4 linked regions of the Sus scrofa genome follow. The protein of the gene in region 2 interacts with the protein of the main gene of each other region in a pairwise test. Links are inferred from orthologs where the notes say so. Each region holds a gene or a part of one and is shown on either strand. Other genes may lie near its edges.

The links.
Region 1: the proteins of RGS2 (region 2) and DDR1 interact in a two-hybrid assay, tested with the Homo sapiens proteins (2 studies listed by BioGRID and IntAct). The link is inferred for Sus scrofa from reciprocal best matches to the Homo sapiens genes RGS2 and DDR1.
Region 3: the proteins of RGS2 (region 2) and CTSB interact in a two-hybrid assay, tested with the Homo sapiens proteins (2 studies listed by BioGRID and IntAct). The link is inferred for Sus scrofa from reciprocal best matches to the Homo sapiens genes RGS2 and CTSB.
Region 4: the proteins of RGS2 (region 2) and WDR74 interact in a two-hybrid assay, tested with the Homo sapiens proteins (2 studies listed by BioGRID and IntAct). The link is inferred for Sus scrofa from reciprocal best matches to the Homo sapiens genes RGS2 and WDR74.

The regions. Positions count from the first base shown.
Region 1 is NC_010449.5:23,379,130-23,383,271, reverse strand, and holds the start of DDR1 (epithelial discoidin domain-containing receptor 1 precursor), read right to left. Parts: upstream 2,801-4,142; coding exon 2,710-2,800; intron 2,620-2,709; coding exon 2,517-2,619; intron 2,310-2,516; coding exon 2,081-2,309; intron 422-2,080; coding exon 274-421; intron 22-273; coding exon 1-21. UniProt on the Homo sapiens protein: Tyrosine kinase that functions as a cell surface receptor for fibrillar collagen and regulates cell attachment to the extracellular matrix, remodeling of the extracellular matrix, cell migration, differentiation, survival and cell proliferation.
Region 2 is NC_010452.4:937,283-941,529, reverse strand, and holds the start of RGS2 (regulator of G-protein signaling 2), read left to right. Parts: upstream 1-1,446; 5' UTR 1,447-1,462; coding exon 1,463-1,572; intron 1,573-2,639; coding exon 2,640-2,741; intron 2,742-2,841; coding exon 2,842-2,903; intron 2,904-3,433; coding exon 3,434-3,600; intron 3,601-3,885; coding exon 3,886-4,083; 3' UTR 4,084-4,247. UniProt on the Homo sapiens protein: Regulates G protein-coupled receptor signaling cascades. Inhibits signal transduction by increasing the GTPase activity of G protein alpha subunits, thereby driving them into their inactive GDP-bound form.
Region 3 is NC_010456.5:15,031,952-15,036,176, forward strand, and holds the start of CTSB (cathepsin B precursor), read right to left. Parts: upstream 2,801-4,225; 5' UTR 2,726-2,800; exon of another isoform or gene 2,712-2,725; coding exon of another isoform or gene 2,561-2,711; intron 1,922-2,560; exon of another isoform or gene 1,855-1,921; intron 1-1,854. UniProt on the Homo sapiens protein: Thiol protease which is believed to participate in intracellular degradation and turnover of proteins. Cleaves matrix extracellular phosphoglycoprotein MEPE. Involved in the solubilization of cross-linked TG/thyroglobulin in the thyroid follicle lumen.
Region 4 is NC_010444.4:8,930,059-8,934,329, reverse strand, and holds the start of WDR74 (WD repeat-containing protein 74), read right to left. Parts: upstream 2,801-4,271; 5' UTR 2,792-2,800; coding exon 2,728-2,791; intron 2,647-2,727; coding exon 2,540-2,646; intron 2,446-2,539; coding exon 2,324-2,445; intron 565-2,323; coding exon 489-564; intron 363-488; coding exon 216-362; intron 49-215; coding exon 1-48. UniProt on the Homo sapiens protein: Regulatory protein of the MTREX-exosome complex involved in the synthesis of the 60S ribosomal subunit. Participates in an early cleavage of the pre-rRNA processing pathway in cooperation with NVL.

The DNA of each region.
Region 1 (4,142 bases), on a different chromosome or scaffold from region 2:
CCGTGTAAGACAGGAGTCCATCTGGGGCAGGGGAAGGAGGGGTGTTAGGGGCACGGAGCCTCCATCCCCCACCCCTGCATTGGGCCTGAATGGCTTTCAGGCCCCTTTCTCATATCCCTCCGTAGGCTGCTGGCACAGAGGAGGCAAGTCCCCTTGTTACTCAGAGTGATAGCTTCCCAACAGGAGAAGGAGGATCCTGAACGCCCCTCCCTGCTGTCCCCACTTCCCAGTCCCCAGGACAGGAAGGGATCCTCAGGGGTCTGAACAACTCACCCTTCCAGAGGCAGCCATAGAGCTCCACCCGCAGACAGACGCTCATGACTCGGTCCGCCCGGGGATAGAAGCGAACCATTCGGGCCACCATGGGGGGTCCAAGGTCCTTCAGCACCACTCCCCCAGGATCCTCATTACCTAAGATCACCTGTGGAGCAGGATGCAGGAAGTGGATGGGTGGAGAGGGCTCCGAATAGGATCTAACTTCCCAGCCCCTAGCTGCTCCCTAGGCCACAAAGAGATGCAGGAAAGGTGGCACTGAGTACCCAGGGCTGTGCGATACAGGCAGGCATTTGTATGCCAAAGGGCTGCAGCAAAGCCCTCTGACTCCTCTCTCAGCCTGATGGCTGTCCTGACCTCCAGCATTAGCTCTCCTACCCCTTGCCTGGCTCCACCCACTTGTCTCTAAGCTATTCATTCCCCTGTTCCCAGATTCGATTCTGCCCAGTCCCTCTAGGCTCTGCACCTCTGCTCTGGGTTCCCCTCTTCCTTCACCCTGATCCCTCTGTTCACTCAGCAGATGCTGGCTGAGCGCCCACTCTGCCCAGGCAGGCACATTTTCGGTGGTGAGCATCAGTCCCTCCAGTGGGACTGAGAGTCCAGTAGGAGAAACAAGAGGCAGCATGTGGGGCCAGAGCAGCGGGAAGTGGGGAGTCAGAAAAGGTTTCCTGAGGAGGTGACATCTTGGGGGAGAATTGAATGGAGAGAGGAAGCGCCTGTGGACAGCTAGAGGAGGAGCTTTCCAGGCACCAAGAACAGCAAGTGAAAGTGTCTGGAGCCCTAGCTTATTCCAGGAACAGTGAGAAAAGCAGCATGGCTCCGGTTAGAGTGAGAGGAGTAAGGGAAGTGGACAGGAGCCAACACAAGCTAAGCCTCTGTACTGAGGAAGGAGCTCAGCTTTTGTTCTGGCAGCAAGGAAAGCCAGCAGAGGGCTGTGAGCCAGGTGTGAGGCATCAGATTTGCATTTTCTCCAGTACCCTGGATATAGCCTCCAGGTGGAGATTTAACTTCAGGAGAGAAAGAAGCTAGGGAGTTCCCATTGTGGCTCAGTGGTAACGAACCCGACTAGGATCCATGAAGATGCAGGTTCGATCCTTGGCCTCGCTCAGTGGGTTAAGAATCCAGCGTTGCCGTGAGCTGTGGTGTAGGTCGCAGATATGGCTTGGATCTCGTGTTGCTGTGGCTATGGTGTAGGCTGGCAGCTACAGCTCCAATTCATCCCCTAGCCTGGGAAGTTCCATATGCTGTGGGTTTGGCCCTAAAAAGGCCAAAAAAAAAAAAAAAAAAAAAAAAAAAAAGAAAGAAAGAAAGAAACTGGGAGAACAGTTTGGTGACTGCTGCACTGATCTAAGCTGGTAGGGGCCCAGCCTAGGGCCATAGAGGTAGAAGTGGTAAGAAGGGGTTGGATTCAGGAAACATCATGGAGCTAGAACAGCCTGGCCTTGCTAAATTACGCTAAATAATGCTTTGGAAGTAGAAGGTGAGAGAAAAAAAGGAATCAAGGATATCATCTTAGCTTTGGCCTAAGCAACTGGACATACGGCAGTACCACTTGCTGGGGAATGCTGGGGGAGGAACAGGTTTAGGGTGGGAATGGGACTCAAGTTCAGCTTGAGAAGTTTATGGAAGTTTGAGATGCCCATTAGACATCTAGGTGGAGAGTGGTCAGGTCTGCAACACTAGCTGGAGCTCAGGGGGGTGCCTGGGCTGGAGAGGGGAGACATTACAAGTCATCAGTGCATAGGCAGTACAGCTGGAGGGGAGAGCAGAGCCAGCCTTCCCTGGGCGCTGCCCCTGCCAGCCTTACCTCCTGGCCCCAGCGGTCCCTCCAGTCCATCCAGCGGAGGCCGTCTCGGGAATAACGCAGCCGGTAGCTGGGGGAGAATTCCTTGCCCAGGCCCCCCGCGTGCCTCCCCTGGGTGCCCACCAGCGCCACCAGGTGCAGCCGCCGCAAGTCCACCTGCAGGTATTCCTCCTCCTTGGGAAACACTGGCCCTGCAGGGCACCATGCCCCATCTCCGTCACTGCTTTCCAGCCTGGGAGGAGGCAGGAGGTCACAGGGAACACCTGGCCTGAGGTCTGCCTCAGTCTCCAGTATTTAAAGTCCCTTGCCCCCGCCCAGTACTGTGGGGGTTTTATTGGCATTGGCCCTCTCATAAGCCTCTTGGCTTGGGCAGAGAGTTGGAAGGGTGAGTGGAGGCCCCAGGTGCTCCCTCTGGGGCAGCCCCAGGTATGCCAGATACCTGCTGTGGCGAGCCGCAGTGGAGTCTGACCAGGAGCTGGAGGCAGAGATGTCACCATCTGGGATGGTCCGGTCCTGCATGCCCAAGGCATAGCGGCACTTGGCTGGGTGAACACAGGCATACAGAGGGTCATGGCTCCTGACTCGGTCTCCCAAGCCCCATCCCTCAGGGACCCAAGAGCCAGTCTCCTCACCAGGGTCAAAATGTCCCTTCATGTCAGCATCTCCCGTTGCCACCAAGAGCAGCAGCAGTAGCAGTAGAGATGAGAGGGCCCTTGGCCCCATAGCTCCTATTCCCTCGGGCCTAAGGGGGTGGGGGCAGCATCTCTGCAGGGAACATAAGGGGTATTGGGGGGGGAGTAAGTTAAAGGGCAATCAGGGAAACTGAGTCACAGCCAACAAGAGACAAATAGAATGGGCTGCTTTGGGATAATTGCAGTGATAATTGGGATAATTTTTAGACTGTTTCCCATGTGCCAAAGACTGAGCTGAACTCTGGTCCCCTCCCCACCTAGGAACTTAATTCTAAGAGAAGTGGGGGAACCCAGCACCTTCCAATCTCAATGTTCTCTATAGCCCTTCTGGTTCCTGACCCAGTAGCCTCAGTAACATCTGGGCACTTGGGAGAAATGCAGAATCTCAGGTCCCACCCTGGACCTGCTGAATCAGAATCTGCATTTTAACACAATCTCCAGGTTATCTGTGCCTATTAAAGCTTGAGAATCCTCACTCTTCTTCACTGGTGCCCAGGCAGCTTGCCGCCCCTCCCTGCCCCACCTCCCCGCAAAACCATTCCAACGACTAGTTTTTTTTTTTTTTTTTTTTTTTTTTTTTCTTTTTTTGCTATTTCTTTGGGCCACTCCCGTGGCATATGGAGGTTCCCAGGCTAGGGGTCTAATCGGAGCTGTAGCCACCGGCCTACGCCAGAGCCACAGCAACGCGGGATCCGAGCCGCGTCTGCAACCTACACCACAGCTCACGCAACGCCAGATCGTTAACCCACTGAGCAAGGCCAGTGATCGAACCCGCAACCTCATGGTTCCTAGTCAGATTCATTAACCACTGCGCCACGACGGGAACTCCCAACGACTAGTTCTTATGAACCTAGGTATCTACCCTCCCCAGCCTCAGGAAAAGCAGTCCTGACCAGTCCTCTTCCCAACAGAGGTCTTCACTGAGTCCTCCAGGCCCTGGAATCCTTGGGGACCCCTAGGGCCACCCTTCACACCCTTACCCCTTCTGTCATCAGGTCCAAAGCATCCCATCCCCTCTCCCTGCTATGCCTTCCCTTCCTAAGACCCTGCTATCCCCAGTTCCCAATTTCTGAAGAAAGAGCCCAGGGCTGAGGAAAAGGCTGAGTTGCCTTGGAGATGAGGGCGGGCCTAAAGACAGGGAAGCCAGGTCACCCCAGGAGGTAGGAGGAGTATGGGGGATACTCCCCCATCCTTTTGTCCTCCAGCTGCTCCCATAATGCTCCAGGGCAGGAATGTAAGAGGCAGCTGAGACCCCACAGCTCCAAAGCAGCAGCTGAGGGGGTTGACTGAGTTGTGGGGGGACCTGGGTATCAAAGGAGAGCTGGAACCAGAAGCATCATGCCTGGTCCCTTGGAAGTCCACGAGCAGGCACA
Region 2 (4,247 bases):
GAAATCTAAACGATCTTCCTCTCCATAGCTGAGTACATGGCTGTTCTCTTTAGTAATAGAAACGTTTTGCTCTCCAAGTCAATCCTGGAGCTCCAGCTACTGGCAGCTCCTCATCAGAATATGGTAAACCAGTTCCAATTTTCTTTTAACAGTTCTAATGCAAAGGAGAGAGAATTCTGCAGCCTAATACCTTGTGGTTCATCTCCCTGCTACTTCGATGCTTGGCAGGAAAACCCCTTGAACATTCCACTGCACAGATCTAATAAAATTGTTCGCTATCCGATCACACCGGGGTTGAGGTCACCTACTCGTCCTTACCAATCAAACCGTTTAAATCGTGCTACAGCAGGACAATTTCTGAAGAATTTAGCAAATTAAGCTCCTTCAAGCAAACTGTTAACCTAGCCTTCCCTCCACCCCCACCTCTCCTTTTTGCCAAGTAAATGTTCTGGTAAATTCTAGGCCGACTAAGAATGACTCATGAGGAAATCCTGCATCTTTGCATTCTTACACTAAAATGACAGCTGCGAGGTCCTGGTGTTTCCCTCTACGTCCTGAGAAGGAGATCTGTGACTTCCCCGTGTGTTCCCTAAGGACAAGCAGCCAAGTACTCCAGAGGAGGAGCACGCAACCCCAAGGACCGACCCAGCCTCGTGTGTGTTGGTGACTAAAACTGCACACCCAGGTAAAGCACTTCTTCTCCTGTTCCTTCCCCTGACCGACGACGTCCCTCCCAAACGTTCTCCAAGTTGTCCAGGGAAGCTGCAGAGCAGGTCACACCGCCCGCCCCTGCGCCGCCCCCCCTTCTCCCTTTCCTTCCGCCAATGAATCGGTGACGAAAAGAGGAGCAGGTGAGCATCTCCCCGCGGCCTCAGTTTACAGACCAAGAAAGGAGGCGCGGGGAGAGGGTGTGCGCTCCAAAAAAAGAGGGAACACATCCGAATTCAAAACCGAGTAACTGCACTCAGGTTCCCAGCAAGTAACCTTGACCTGCTGGGGACTCCCCCCTCCCTTTGGGGTCCGGAGCAAGTGCGCGTGGGGGAGGGGACGGAGGCGAGGAGGGGGAGGGGCGGGCGAGCGCCCCGCGGGGCCTGCAGCCAACCCGCCCCACGCCTCCCAAGCTCTGCCACCCCGCCGGCCGCCCCAAGCCGGCAGAGGCCTCCGGCGGCTGCCCGAAGGGAAACTCCTCGGCCCCCACCAGCAGCCCCAGCGCCTCGCCGCGGGGGGCTCGCCTGCGCACGACGCTGCGGCCGCAAACGTCAGCGGCGCCCTCCCTTCCAGACCCTTCGGCGGTGCCCGGGACTGCGCAGACTCCGCCCCAGGCCCGGAGCCAGCCGGCCAATCGGCACCCGCTGAAGGCGGGCCCAGCGTCGTGAGGCGCCGCCCACGAGCCTCCGACTCTTATAAATACCGCGGCGCGCTCCTGGCAGCAGAGAGCGGGCACCCGGGAGCGTAGACGATAATGCAAAGTGCTATGTTCCTGACTGTCCATCACGACTGCGGACCCATGGACAAGAGCGCAGGCACCGGCCCCAAAAGCGAGGAGAAGCGGGAGAAGATGAAGCGGACCCTGTAAGTACGGCTTTCTTCTCTCCCCTGCCAGCCCCGCGGACCTAGCTGTCCCGGGCGGCTGCAAACGCGGTACATCCGCGCTTGGCTTCCACCCTGGAGCGGTGCCTCCATCTCTGCAGGGGAAAACATTGTGTAAAAGATACACTTGCTAGGTAGGGTTAAATCTATGTGGTGGGTCCTTTGTGATGTAACCGAAGGACTCGAGGGTAGAGTCGAGGAACTGCGGCAAATTCGTGATGCAGAGGCGGTGGTAGATGAGCTGAGGAATCGCAGGTTGGGTTTTTATCTCCCCGCATCGAAAATGACACCAGAGAATCCTGCAGCCCAGGCGCGTCCCCAGCATTCGTACGTTGCATTGTAAATTCTCATCAACTTACACAGCTGCTGGGATGGAAATATTTTTGCTAGCTCTGAATATATTATTTTAAAATCTTTTTTTTTTCCAGTTTAACAACAGATCTCACCCACCCAGCACTAAGGAACAAATAATTGTTCTGCATCATCTGGTTAAAATGGGTGTTGTAGTTGCGATCACACACGCGCGCACACACGCACACGCACCTCACCTCATTGTTCACAGCTTCTAGAGTGGTCCAGATCCTCCTGCTCTAAGGGTGGAAGGGAAATACCCATGGCTGGCTCCGGGCAGTTCCACTGTCCGTTTCATCAAGTGTGAAATGTCTCAGAATTGTAATTAACATTGCAGAACTGCTGCTGCCTTTTGTGGGCCAGAAATAGCATCTGCCTTTTGAACTATGCCAGCTAAATTCATTAAATACCCTATAATTGTAGGTTATCCTACGCGTAGTTATAAAACTAGCAGTTATGTTCAGATGAGTAGATGAAACTGTTCCAGGCATAGGTGCTGGGTTTATATTTTAAAGGGGTAAGACTGACTTGAAGGAGGACTGTTTTGTCTTACTTCGTTGTCTGTAGCTACTGGGAGTGACTTTATTTGGTTTAAAAAAAAAAAAAAAAAAAACCTTTAGCTGCAGTGGTGTGGCCATTTCAAGTGTTGGCACTTAGTAAAAGTCTTTTTTTTTTTTTTTTTTTTTTTCTTCTTTAAGATTAAAAGATTGGAAGACCCGTTTGAGCTACTTCTTGCAAAACTCCTCCTCTCCTGGGAAGCCCAAAACCGGCAAGAAAAGCAAACCGCAAACCTTCATCAAGTAAGTTGAAAATCTCAGTCCTTGCAAAGCTAGGCCACCAGCTGCTGAACAGAAGGGGGAAACAGACAGGTGTGAGCTGACATGTGACCGTCTCTTGCAGGCCTTCTCCTGAGGAAGCACAGCTGTGGGCAGAAGCATTTGATGAGCTGCTAGCCAGCAAATGTGAGTTAACCCCTTGAATTTGGTCCTTTTCAAGGAGCCCAAGCGTCTAGAAAGGAGGAGCATCCGGCCCCAGGGAGTTTGACTTTACTGTCTCCAGCATCTGAGGCCTGTTTCTTCCCCCGCCGTTTCCCGGGGATTATCCCTGGAAACGCAGGGCTTATTCACTCCAGGTGGGACGCAAAATCAGCGCCAAACTGGAATGGCCCTTGGTGTAAGCTTGAGCCAGCTTTTCCATTGCATACAGTGTTCTCAAGAGGCTTAGTTCACACAGAGAACCAAAGCTCCCCCGTAAACGGCTGGGTCAACAGCAAAGCTGAGCACAGCAGGGCGCCACCTTAAGCATTTTGCAGACTGGCATCTTCGTCTCTGAAGAGCTCAGTTCTAAAGCGGGAGTGAAATCTAGAAATCTTGCTTTCATCTAGAGATAAGAAAATTAGGGGGCCAGGGCCAGGGAGGCCTAGGAGAAAAGTGAAGGGATTATGAGGTCCCTCAGTTCACGTTCTTCATGCTTCCTCTCCTCTGCCCCCCAGATGGTCTTGCTGCATTCAGAGCTTTTTTGAAATCTGAATTCTGTGAAGAAAATATTGAATTCTGGCTGGCCTGTGAAGACTTCAAAAAAACAAAGTCACCCCAAAAGCTGTCCTCCAAAGCCAGGAAAATATACACTGACTTCATAGAAAAAGAAGCTCCAAAAGAGGTAAGGAGGAAAAAAAAATGTCCTTGTTTCCGTATCTGTTGAACATTCTTAGCACCAGAGTGAAACGAAAGAATAGAAGAGTCCTCAAGCTAAAAGGAGGGGTAAATATTTTCCCCTCTGGCTTTCAGCGAGATGAATGACCTTTCTACGGGGGCGGCTGGGGCACCTCTTCCGCCCCTCATGGTTTTGGAGGTCTTTTGCTTGTTCATTTGCTTTCATGTATCGCATAGACGTCAGTCTCCACCTCTGAATATGCAGTAAACCGCTATTTTTGTTTCATTTCAGATAAACATAGACTTTCAAACCAAAACTCTCATTGCCCAAAACATACAAGAGGCTACAAGTGGCTGCTTTACAACTGCCCAGAAAAGGGTGTACAGCTTGATGGAGAACAACTCTTATCCCCGTTTCTTGGAGTCTGAATTCTACCAAGACTTGTGTAGGAAGCCGCCGCAGATCACCACAGAGCCCCATGCCACATGAGATGGAAACGGGAGCCCCGCAACGAGGACATTGCTTTTTTTCTTTTTGTTTCCTAAGGGGAAAGGCTGTCACCTGCCGAAAAGACTGACCTTGAATTCAGCCTGGGTGTTGAGGAAACATCACTCAGAACTATTGATTCGGAGTTAGTGAGTCAGGAAGCCAGG
Region 3 (4,225 bases), on a different chromosome or scaffold from region 2:
CACAGCACTGTCTGTGGCCTAGACAAGTGGAAGGTGCACACATCATATGACCCAGTATCTTCCTGGACTTCTGCTTCTGCACTAGAGAAACACCTGCAAGAAGCTGGCAGAGACAAGGATATTTACCGTAGTGGTGGTGAGGACAGTGAAAAAGCAAAAACCACTTAACTGTCCCTTAGTAGATAAATACACGGTGCATTTAAGATGAATGACCTGGAGCTGTCAGTATCAACATAAATCAGTCTCACAGACACAAGTGAAAAGGATACACGTGGAATACAGTTGGTCAATTTTAATCACATTATTCATGGGCTGATACAAAGTATTAAAAAAACAGGAAAAAAAAAATCAACCCCAACCATGCAGGAAAATTATAAAGAGATGAGCAGACTGGAGTCCTTCAGCCATCAGTAAGACTTGAAGAGCAAAGAAGCTGAAAGTTGCTGCCTGCAGAACAGAGCTGTAGCCAGGAGGGAAGGCACTCCTGCTGGGAAGCCCCTCCTCCCCACCCCAGTCCTTGAGCACTGTGAAAAAGGGATGGGGATGAGGCCTGAGCTTTAATATGGGATTGGTTAAGTCTAAATATTTAATGACAATTGATCCCTGGATTCCCCTCCGGCCCAAGCTAGGTGGGATGGGAACATTCCAGCCATGGAAGGAGTCAGGAGTCTCTCCACCCTCCCTTGCTTGGGCAGCATGAGCTGAGAGGAGGACAGGAGACCAGGCATAGACTGCTTCCCAGTGGCCTCCACCTGCATGTGCCTCAACTAGATTCATCAACTACTTTCAACCCTGACAGCTCTACACAGGAAGCTAAATGACATCCAAGTGTCCAATCACAATCCTCCTTGACCTACAAGATTTCCATTGCTTTATAGTTTGACCTCCCATGTTTCCAGTACTTTATGTCAAGATAAAAAACAAAAACAAGCAGCAGACACTGAGTCCTTCTCTCCTAAGGACAGGGATATTTAAACACAACCACAACTCATCCCCACATTTAAGAAAACCACCCAAGAGATGTTCCAGGATTCACCTGAAAGTGATCTTCTTTCACTTCTCAACCCAAATGCCCATGGTAACACAAGATCTCTCTTAGCCCTAAACTGTGTGTGACTTCCTACTCCAACTCCCAGGGCTAGTAGCCAGGGAAAGGGCCAGTCTACAAGGAGGACCTCAGTTCAAGCTGGTGAATCAGCAGGAGGCAGGTGTTCCTGGAGCCTAAGGGCTTCTACCCTCACCACCTGACCAGTTCAGAAACAGGGCTGTCCTGACCCAGCATCATGGGAGGTACGTGGAGCCAGGGCTATGTCTGGCCGGCACTGCCCCTGGGCCTGTGAAGCCCCCAGGTAAGGGATCTGCACCTTTCCACTCAGCAGCACCCCAGCTCTGGGACCAATGCCCCCAATAGGTTGGGGCGAATCCTTTCGCCAGATGCCTTCAACTCTTTGAGAAAGTCACACAGAGTGAAGGCAGCCCAGCCCCTGATCTCTACAGAGCTTAAAGGCACTAGGTCACCATCACCAGCGCCAACAGGAAACAATTCTCCATGAAGTTAAGGATGTCAGGGAGAAAAGGAAAGTAGCCTTTACCGAACCAGACATCCTTCTAAGGCTCTTCCTCTTAGGGCTCTGCATCCATAGATTCAACTGAGGTGAACGCCCTTCAGCTGCATTCCCCTCTAGTGGAGACAGCTGAGGATCAGGCTTTCCAAAGGTCTCCCTTTGAACACCCCACCCCCACCCCCGCCCCCGCGTATGAGTTACTGTCCTCCCCACACCAGCCAACCGGCCTCCTCAGTCCCTGGGGACGGGATTGGGGCCCATTACGCAAGCAAATCCAACTCACGTCTACCTGGACAGCCCGCTGACTCCCCAAACTCAGCCACCCTAAGACGCTCCTTCTCCCAGGCTTCCAGGGTCATTAAGTGAGGGAGGAGGCGATGCCCAAGGACTCTGCCCTGCCTTCCCCTCCCCCACAGCACCATGGGCCCAAGCGGATTTCCCTTCCCTAGCAGTCCAGGAACAGAGTCTGCACCCCTCTCCCCTCCACTCCCCCAGGGTCCCGGGCCCTACAGTCTCCTGTCCCCCCCCCCCGCCCCAGTTTCTCCTCCCACCCAAGGATTTAACTCTTCCGGTGGGTCCCACCCTGCCCCACCCAGGGCCAGGTTCCAGCTTCCCAATTTCTGTCTTCTGGGGACCCTGGAACCGTGTGTAGTTGTGCAAACAAGCTGCCCGGGGAAAACCCTTTTGGAAAAAGAAAACATCTAAAGCGGACGCAGGCAAATAATATCCACTCAGCAATTTGCTGAGGAAACTGAGGCCCAGCAGCTCACAAGCGGCTCCCGGGGTGCAGCCGAAAGTCAGTGGGTCGGGGCTGAGCTTTTCCTCGCAGGCTCCTCCCTCGGGCTCCCCCGCAAACTGCCCAGCCCCGCCGTACTGCCCCACCCCACCCCTCACCCCGGCCCGACACCGCGGTCAGGCCGGCCCGGGGTCCGAACACAGCCGGAGCTGGGGTGGGGTCCGGCCGCATGCGTGGGGGTTGTTTTTGCTCTTCTCACCAGAGCCACGACCGGGAGTGCGCGGGGGCCGCCCAGCTCGCCTCTCCGTTTCCGCCGGCCCTGGGACACCGCCGGGGCCCGGCAGAGGTACAAGCCAGCCGGTCTCCCCATCCCTCTGCCCCAGGTCACTTCCGCCGGGGGGGCACCGCATCCGTACGCACTCACCGCGCTCCGCCGCCGCCGCCGCCGAGGGCCTAGGTCTGCAGCCTCCGAGCGCTCGGGCAGGTTCTGACGCCCGAACAGCCAGCCGCCTTAGCTTCCCAGAGCCGCCCCCGCGCTAAGTACCGCACCAGGCCCCGCCCGCGCCCTCCTCCGCCTGACTCGCCACGTGACCAGGGCAGCTGGCGCCGCGCCCCGCCCCCACCGGGTCCCCAGCAGCCTGGGAAGGGCTCAGAACCTTCCTCATCCGCCTGTACCCCTCAGTGCCCCAAGTTCTGCGTTCTGCGAGCGGAAGGGCACGCGAGGTGGGCCTGAGAGGGAGAGGGTCACCCCTCCTGGAGAAATTCCCTGGGGCCGAGGGGGTCTGGGCCCAGCGCAGCAGAGGACACGGATCCCTGCTTGGGACAGCTGTTCCTTATTTCATTCATTCAGAAACCACTGCCACAGATGGGGGTGTCATGACAGCAGGCCTCCCAGAAGAGCCTTAAAAGGCTGTTAGCTTGAATGTGCCTATCAGATGTTCTAGATATGTAAGAATTTTTAAGCGGTAGCTAAAACTAAATATAGAACTACCATATCCAGCAATCCCACTCCTGGGCCTGTATCCAGAAAACCATCCTAAAGATACCATGCACCCCAGTGTTCACTGGAGCACTATTTACAATAGCCAAGACATGGAAGTAACCTGAATGTCTATGAATAGAGGATTGGCTAAAGAAGACATAGTGTGGGAGTTCCCGCTGTGGTGCAGTGGGTTAAGAATCTGACTGCAGTAGCTTGGGTCCTTCTGGAGGTACGGCTTTGATCCCAGCCCAGCACAGTGGGTAAAGGATCCAGGGCTGATGCAGCTGCAGCTCGGATTCAGTCCCTGGCCTGGAACTTACATATACCGCAGATGCAGCTGTGGGCGAAAAAAAGATGTGATACATATATGCAATGGACTATTACTCAGCCATTAAAAAAAAAAAAGAATGAAAAATGCCATTTGCAGCAACATGGATGGGCCTAGAAATGACCATACTAAGTGAAGTCAGAGAAAGAAATATATGAGATCACTAATATGTGGAATCTAATAAAAAATGATACAAAAGAACTTACAAAACAATTTGCTTTGAAAATCTTGAGTCTCTGATTACCAAAGGAGAGGTGGGGGGGGATAAAATAGGAAATTGGGATTGACATATATGCATTACTGTGTATAAAATAGAAAGGTGACAAGGACATACTTTATAGCAGAGGGATATCTACACAATACTGTATAGAGATATATGGGAAAAGAATCTGTGAATTTTTTCTTTTTAGGGCTGCCCTTGCAGCATATGGACATTCCCAGGCTAGCGGTCTAATGGGAGCCGCAGCTGCCCTGCCCACCTATGCCACAGGTTCAAGCTGTGTCCCTGATCCATGCCACAGCTCAAGGCAGAGGCCGGATCCTTAACCCATTGAGTGGGGCCAGGGCTTGGACTCGCATCGTCAAGGATACTGGTCAGGTTCCGTACCACTGAG
Region 4 (4,271 bases), on a different chromosome or scaffold from region 2:
GTCCTGGTCCCAGATGGGAACTCTCAGGTCAAGCCAATCATTCCGCACCTGGTGGGGCAGGTAGATGAGGGTCAGGGTTGTGGGGGGCTCAGAGTGCCCCTTCCTCCCACCCTCCATCGTTATCCCCTAAAGCCAATCTGGTCTCTGACTCACAGTCTTTGGCCGAAGCCTCCCTGGATCTTAGACCCGGCCCCTTCCCACCCACCGTCACTCACGTTCTTGGCCTTGAACACAGGCTCCTCAGACCCCTGCAGGTCCCACACCTTCAAAGCATTCTCCTTCCCACCCGTGGCAACCACATGGGGGCGAGATGGGTCCTGGCGCATCCTACACACCCCAGGGCCCACTCTCAGTTCTAGGAGCTGAAAAGAATGCGAGATGAAAGTCAGTTCCTGAGTCCTTAATCCTCCTCCCCCAAAGCCTTCATGTGGCTCCTACCCTGGGCCCCACCTTCCCCAACCATCAGGATCTGAGCAGGGGAGCCTCACTGGGTCAGAGGATGCTTCCTTGTCATTGTCATGCCACACTCGAAGTATCCCAGATTCCACACACGTGATGAGGGTGCTGCAAGGAAGAGGGAGGATAGGCTTAGGTTAAAAAAAAGTGCCAGGGAGTTTCTGTTGTGGCTCAGTGGTAATGAACCCCACTGGTATCCGTGAGGATGTGGGTTCAATCCCTGGCCTTGCTCACTGGGTTAAGGATCTGGCATTGCCATGAGCTATGGTGTAGGTTGCAGATGTGACTCTGATCTGGTGTTGCTGTGTTGTAGGCTGGCAGCTGCAACTCCAACTGGACCCCTAGCCTGGGAACCTCCATATGCCGCAGGTGTGGCCTTAAAAAGACAAAAAAAAAAAGTTTCAACGTGTTCTCTGGCCCTAGTCAACCCAGACCCAAATTCATACGAACTAGACTTCCTCCTACCAACCCTGTTACTAAAGAAGCCTCTCGGTAACTCAGGTCTACAGCAGGGTTTTATGGCTGTTATTTAATTTCAATAGGGTGAAGAGCCTGAAGCTCTGAAAATTAAAAGATTTGCCACTCAGCTATTGATGTCAGAACCAGGGCTAAAAATCAAGCCTGTGATACTCCAAAGCAGAGAGCTTTTGCTATTCCATAGCTACATGTGGGGCACCTGGCCCTGCTGGTCTTTCTGAATCTTCAGCCGATCACCAGGGGTCAGGATCAGTGGCTCTGAAAGGACAGTAATGGGACTGCTTTGGGTTTAATGTCTGGCCAAAGTCAAATACCAGCTGTTCTCAAGTTCCCTGTCCTTGGTTAACTGGATGCTAAATTTCAATCTCTCCCCCAAGTATATTTCCCATGAAGCCCAAACAAGTCTCTCTCCAGCATCTGCACAAACCAAATCTATGCCCTTTCTCATATCTGCCCACCCTCCCCACCTTGGATCAGGCTCTGGGCTATGGTAACAATCTCCAACTGCTGTCTCTCCAACCCATCCTCCATAATCCTGCAGGGCTCACAGCTCTGACCACCACACTTCCTACTCAAAAACCATAACTCCCCACCACATACAGAAGTGCAAATCTCTCAGCCTGGCACTTAAAACCCTTTTTTTTTACCTTTAATCCCAACCTACCTTGCCCATCTCATATTAAAATGCTTCTCGGCTTCAATCCCCAAACGCTATTTATTTCTCTTTCCCATGATGTATCCTGTAGCCTGACACCAGTCCTTACCTCTGCTCGGGCAGTAGCCTCTTTCTAGAGTGCCCTTACCCGCTTCTCCATCTGTCAAAGTTCTACCCATCATTCCAGACCCAGTTCAAAGATCTCACCCCACAGCGCCTTCTAGATCTCACTTGTCAGAATTAACATCACCAAAACTACACAGCCTGTTCATAGCCCGTCCATCTTCCGAAGAAAGCTAAGCCTGTAACTTATCACTTTCCTATCCTTTACTGTGGGAGCTTTACCGATTTGGTGGTTGGTAGCCCCCATCTAAAAACACACTCTAGGTGATATAAGACACAAATGAGAACATACTCTAAACTATTAAATGACTTGCTCAGGGTCACCTAAAAAGTCATGGACCCAAAAGAACAACCCTTGAGGATGCAGACTCTAGGAAGGCAGGTACTGTGTCCAGTTTACCTGCAGCCCTTGAATTTCGTCCAATGCCTGTAATCCAGTAGGTATTCAATAAATGCTTATTATAGAAATGAAGGAACGAAGGCAGGACAAATGTCCCTGTCACACAGATCAGGCTCCTGTCACCTAAGACTTGATCCCCATTGATCGACCGTCGTGCGGGAGCTTCAACTATCTGCCTATACCTGAGCATACGGCAAGGGTCTCGGTCTTACCCGTCAACCTGGGCGAGGCCTCGGAAGGTGCCCTCGCCTCCGGGGCAGTGCCTCTGGCCCTGGAACCTGCCCTCCTCGGTGCTGAAGAGCTTCACTGTCCTATCGGCACAGCCGACTAGGATCTGCAGGCAGAGAGAGCAGGGCAGGATGGCAAGAGGAGCGAGGCTGCCACGCCTCAGCATCCCCCCTGCTCCAGCACAGTTAGAGGTCGCTCACCTGGGTCTCGCCGCCCGCGCCCCAGCACAGGGCGCTCACCGCCTCCTCGCGCTGCGGCTGTCCCGCCGCCGTGTAGTTTACCGCTTGTTTGCGCTGAAGGTTCACCCCTGCGGTCCGGGGACGTCAGTTACGCCGGGGTCGCGAACGCATGACCCCCGCGGTTCCAGACGCCCAGGCCCATCACTCACCTTTCAGGATGCCGGTGTCGGTGCCGACCCACACATGATTCCACCGCGCCTCGGCAGCCGCCATAACGGAGATCCGGATCCGGCTCGCACTTCCGGCGCAGCATTTGCGTCACCAGCACGCGGCAGGTCGGATCCGGATAAAGGCCATTTCTGGGAGCGTAGAGAGCAGGAAATGTAAAAATTCCCCCACTGCGCCAGCTGGTTTTGCTTTTAAGAAATGAAATCTAGGAGTTCCCGTCGTGGCTCAGCGGTTAACGAATCCGACTAGGAACCCTGAGGTTGGCGGTTTGATCCCTGGCCTTGCTCAGTGGGGTAAAGATGTGGCGTTGCCGTGAGCTGTCGCAGAGGCGGCTCGGACCCCACCTTGCTGAGGCTGTGGCGTAGGCCAGCGCCTGTAGCTCCGATTGGACCCCTAGCCTGGGAACCTCCATATGCCGCGGGTGCAGCCCTAAAAAGCAAAACAAGAAAGAAAACATATATCAGGAATGATTCAAGTCGCTCATATGAGGCACATCAACCTTGAGTATAAAAAGGACGAATTCTGGGAAAATAAAACCGACTTTTTTTTTTTTTTTTTTCCCCAGATCCCATGTGGGATCTGAGGCAAGCCTGCGACGTACGCCACAGCGCAGGGCAACCCAGATCCTTAATCCACTGAGCGAGGCCAGGGATCGAACCTGCGTCCTCAGGGGTGCTAGTCAGATTCGTTTCTGCTGAACCAGGACGGAGAACTCCAAAAGTGACAATCTTTTTTTTTTTTTTTTTTGTCTTTTCTAGGGCCGCACACGCGGAATATGGAGGTTCCCAGGATAGGGGTCTAAAAGGAGCTGTAGCCGCCGGCCTACACCACAGCCACAGCAACTCGGGATCCGAGCCTCGTCTGCGACCTATACCATAGGTCACGGCAACGCCTGATCGTTAGCCACGACGGGAATTCCCAAAACTAACAATCTTTAAGCAGAACTCTGTTTTGGAAAGTGGAGGTAAGGGCTTAGTTTTTATTTCCTCACATTGAGGTTTGGGGATGGTAAAAAATTAGTACCAACTGAGAGTAAAAATCTGCAAATCTAACAGAAAAAAAAATCTTTCTCCCAAGGGATAAGCTGCAACTTTAAAATGTCATAACGTCCCCCTTTCTTGAATGACTGAGACATTTTCTCTGAAATCAGAGACTCTCAACTATTAGAGGAGTTCCCATCATGGCTCAGTGGTTAACGAATCCGACTAGGAACCATGAGGTTGCGGGTTCGATCCCTGGCCTTGCTCTGTGGGTTAACGATCTGGCATTGCCCTGAGCTGTGGTATAGGTCGCAGAGACGGCTGGGATCCGGCATTGCTTTGGCTGCGGTGTAGGCCGGCGGTTACAGCTCCGATTGGACCCCTAGCCTGGGAACCTCCATATGCCGTGGGTGCGGTCCTAGAAAGACAAAAAAAATAAAGTGCTGTTTAAAATTATATCGGGAGCTTCCTAGTGGCCTGGCGGTTAAGGCTTGTTACCGCTGTGGCGCGGATTCAGTACCTGCCTTGGGAAATTCTTCATGTGT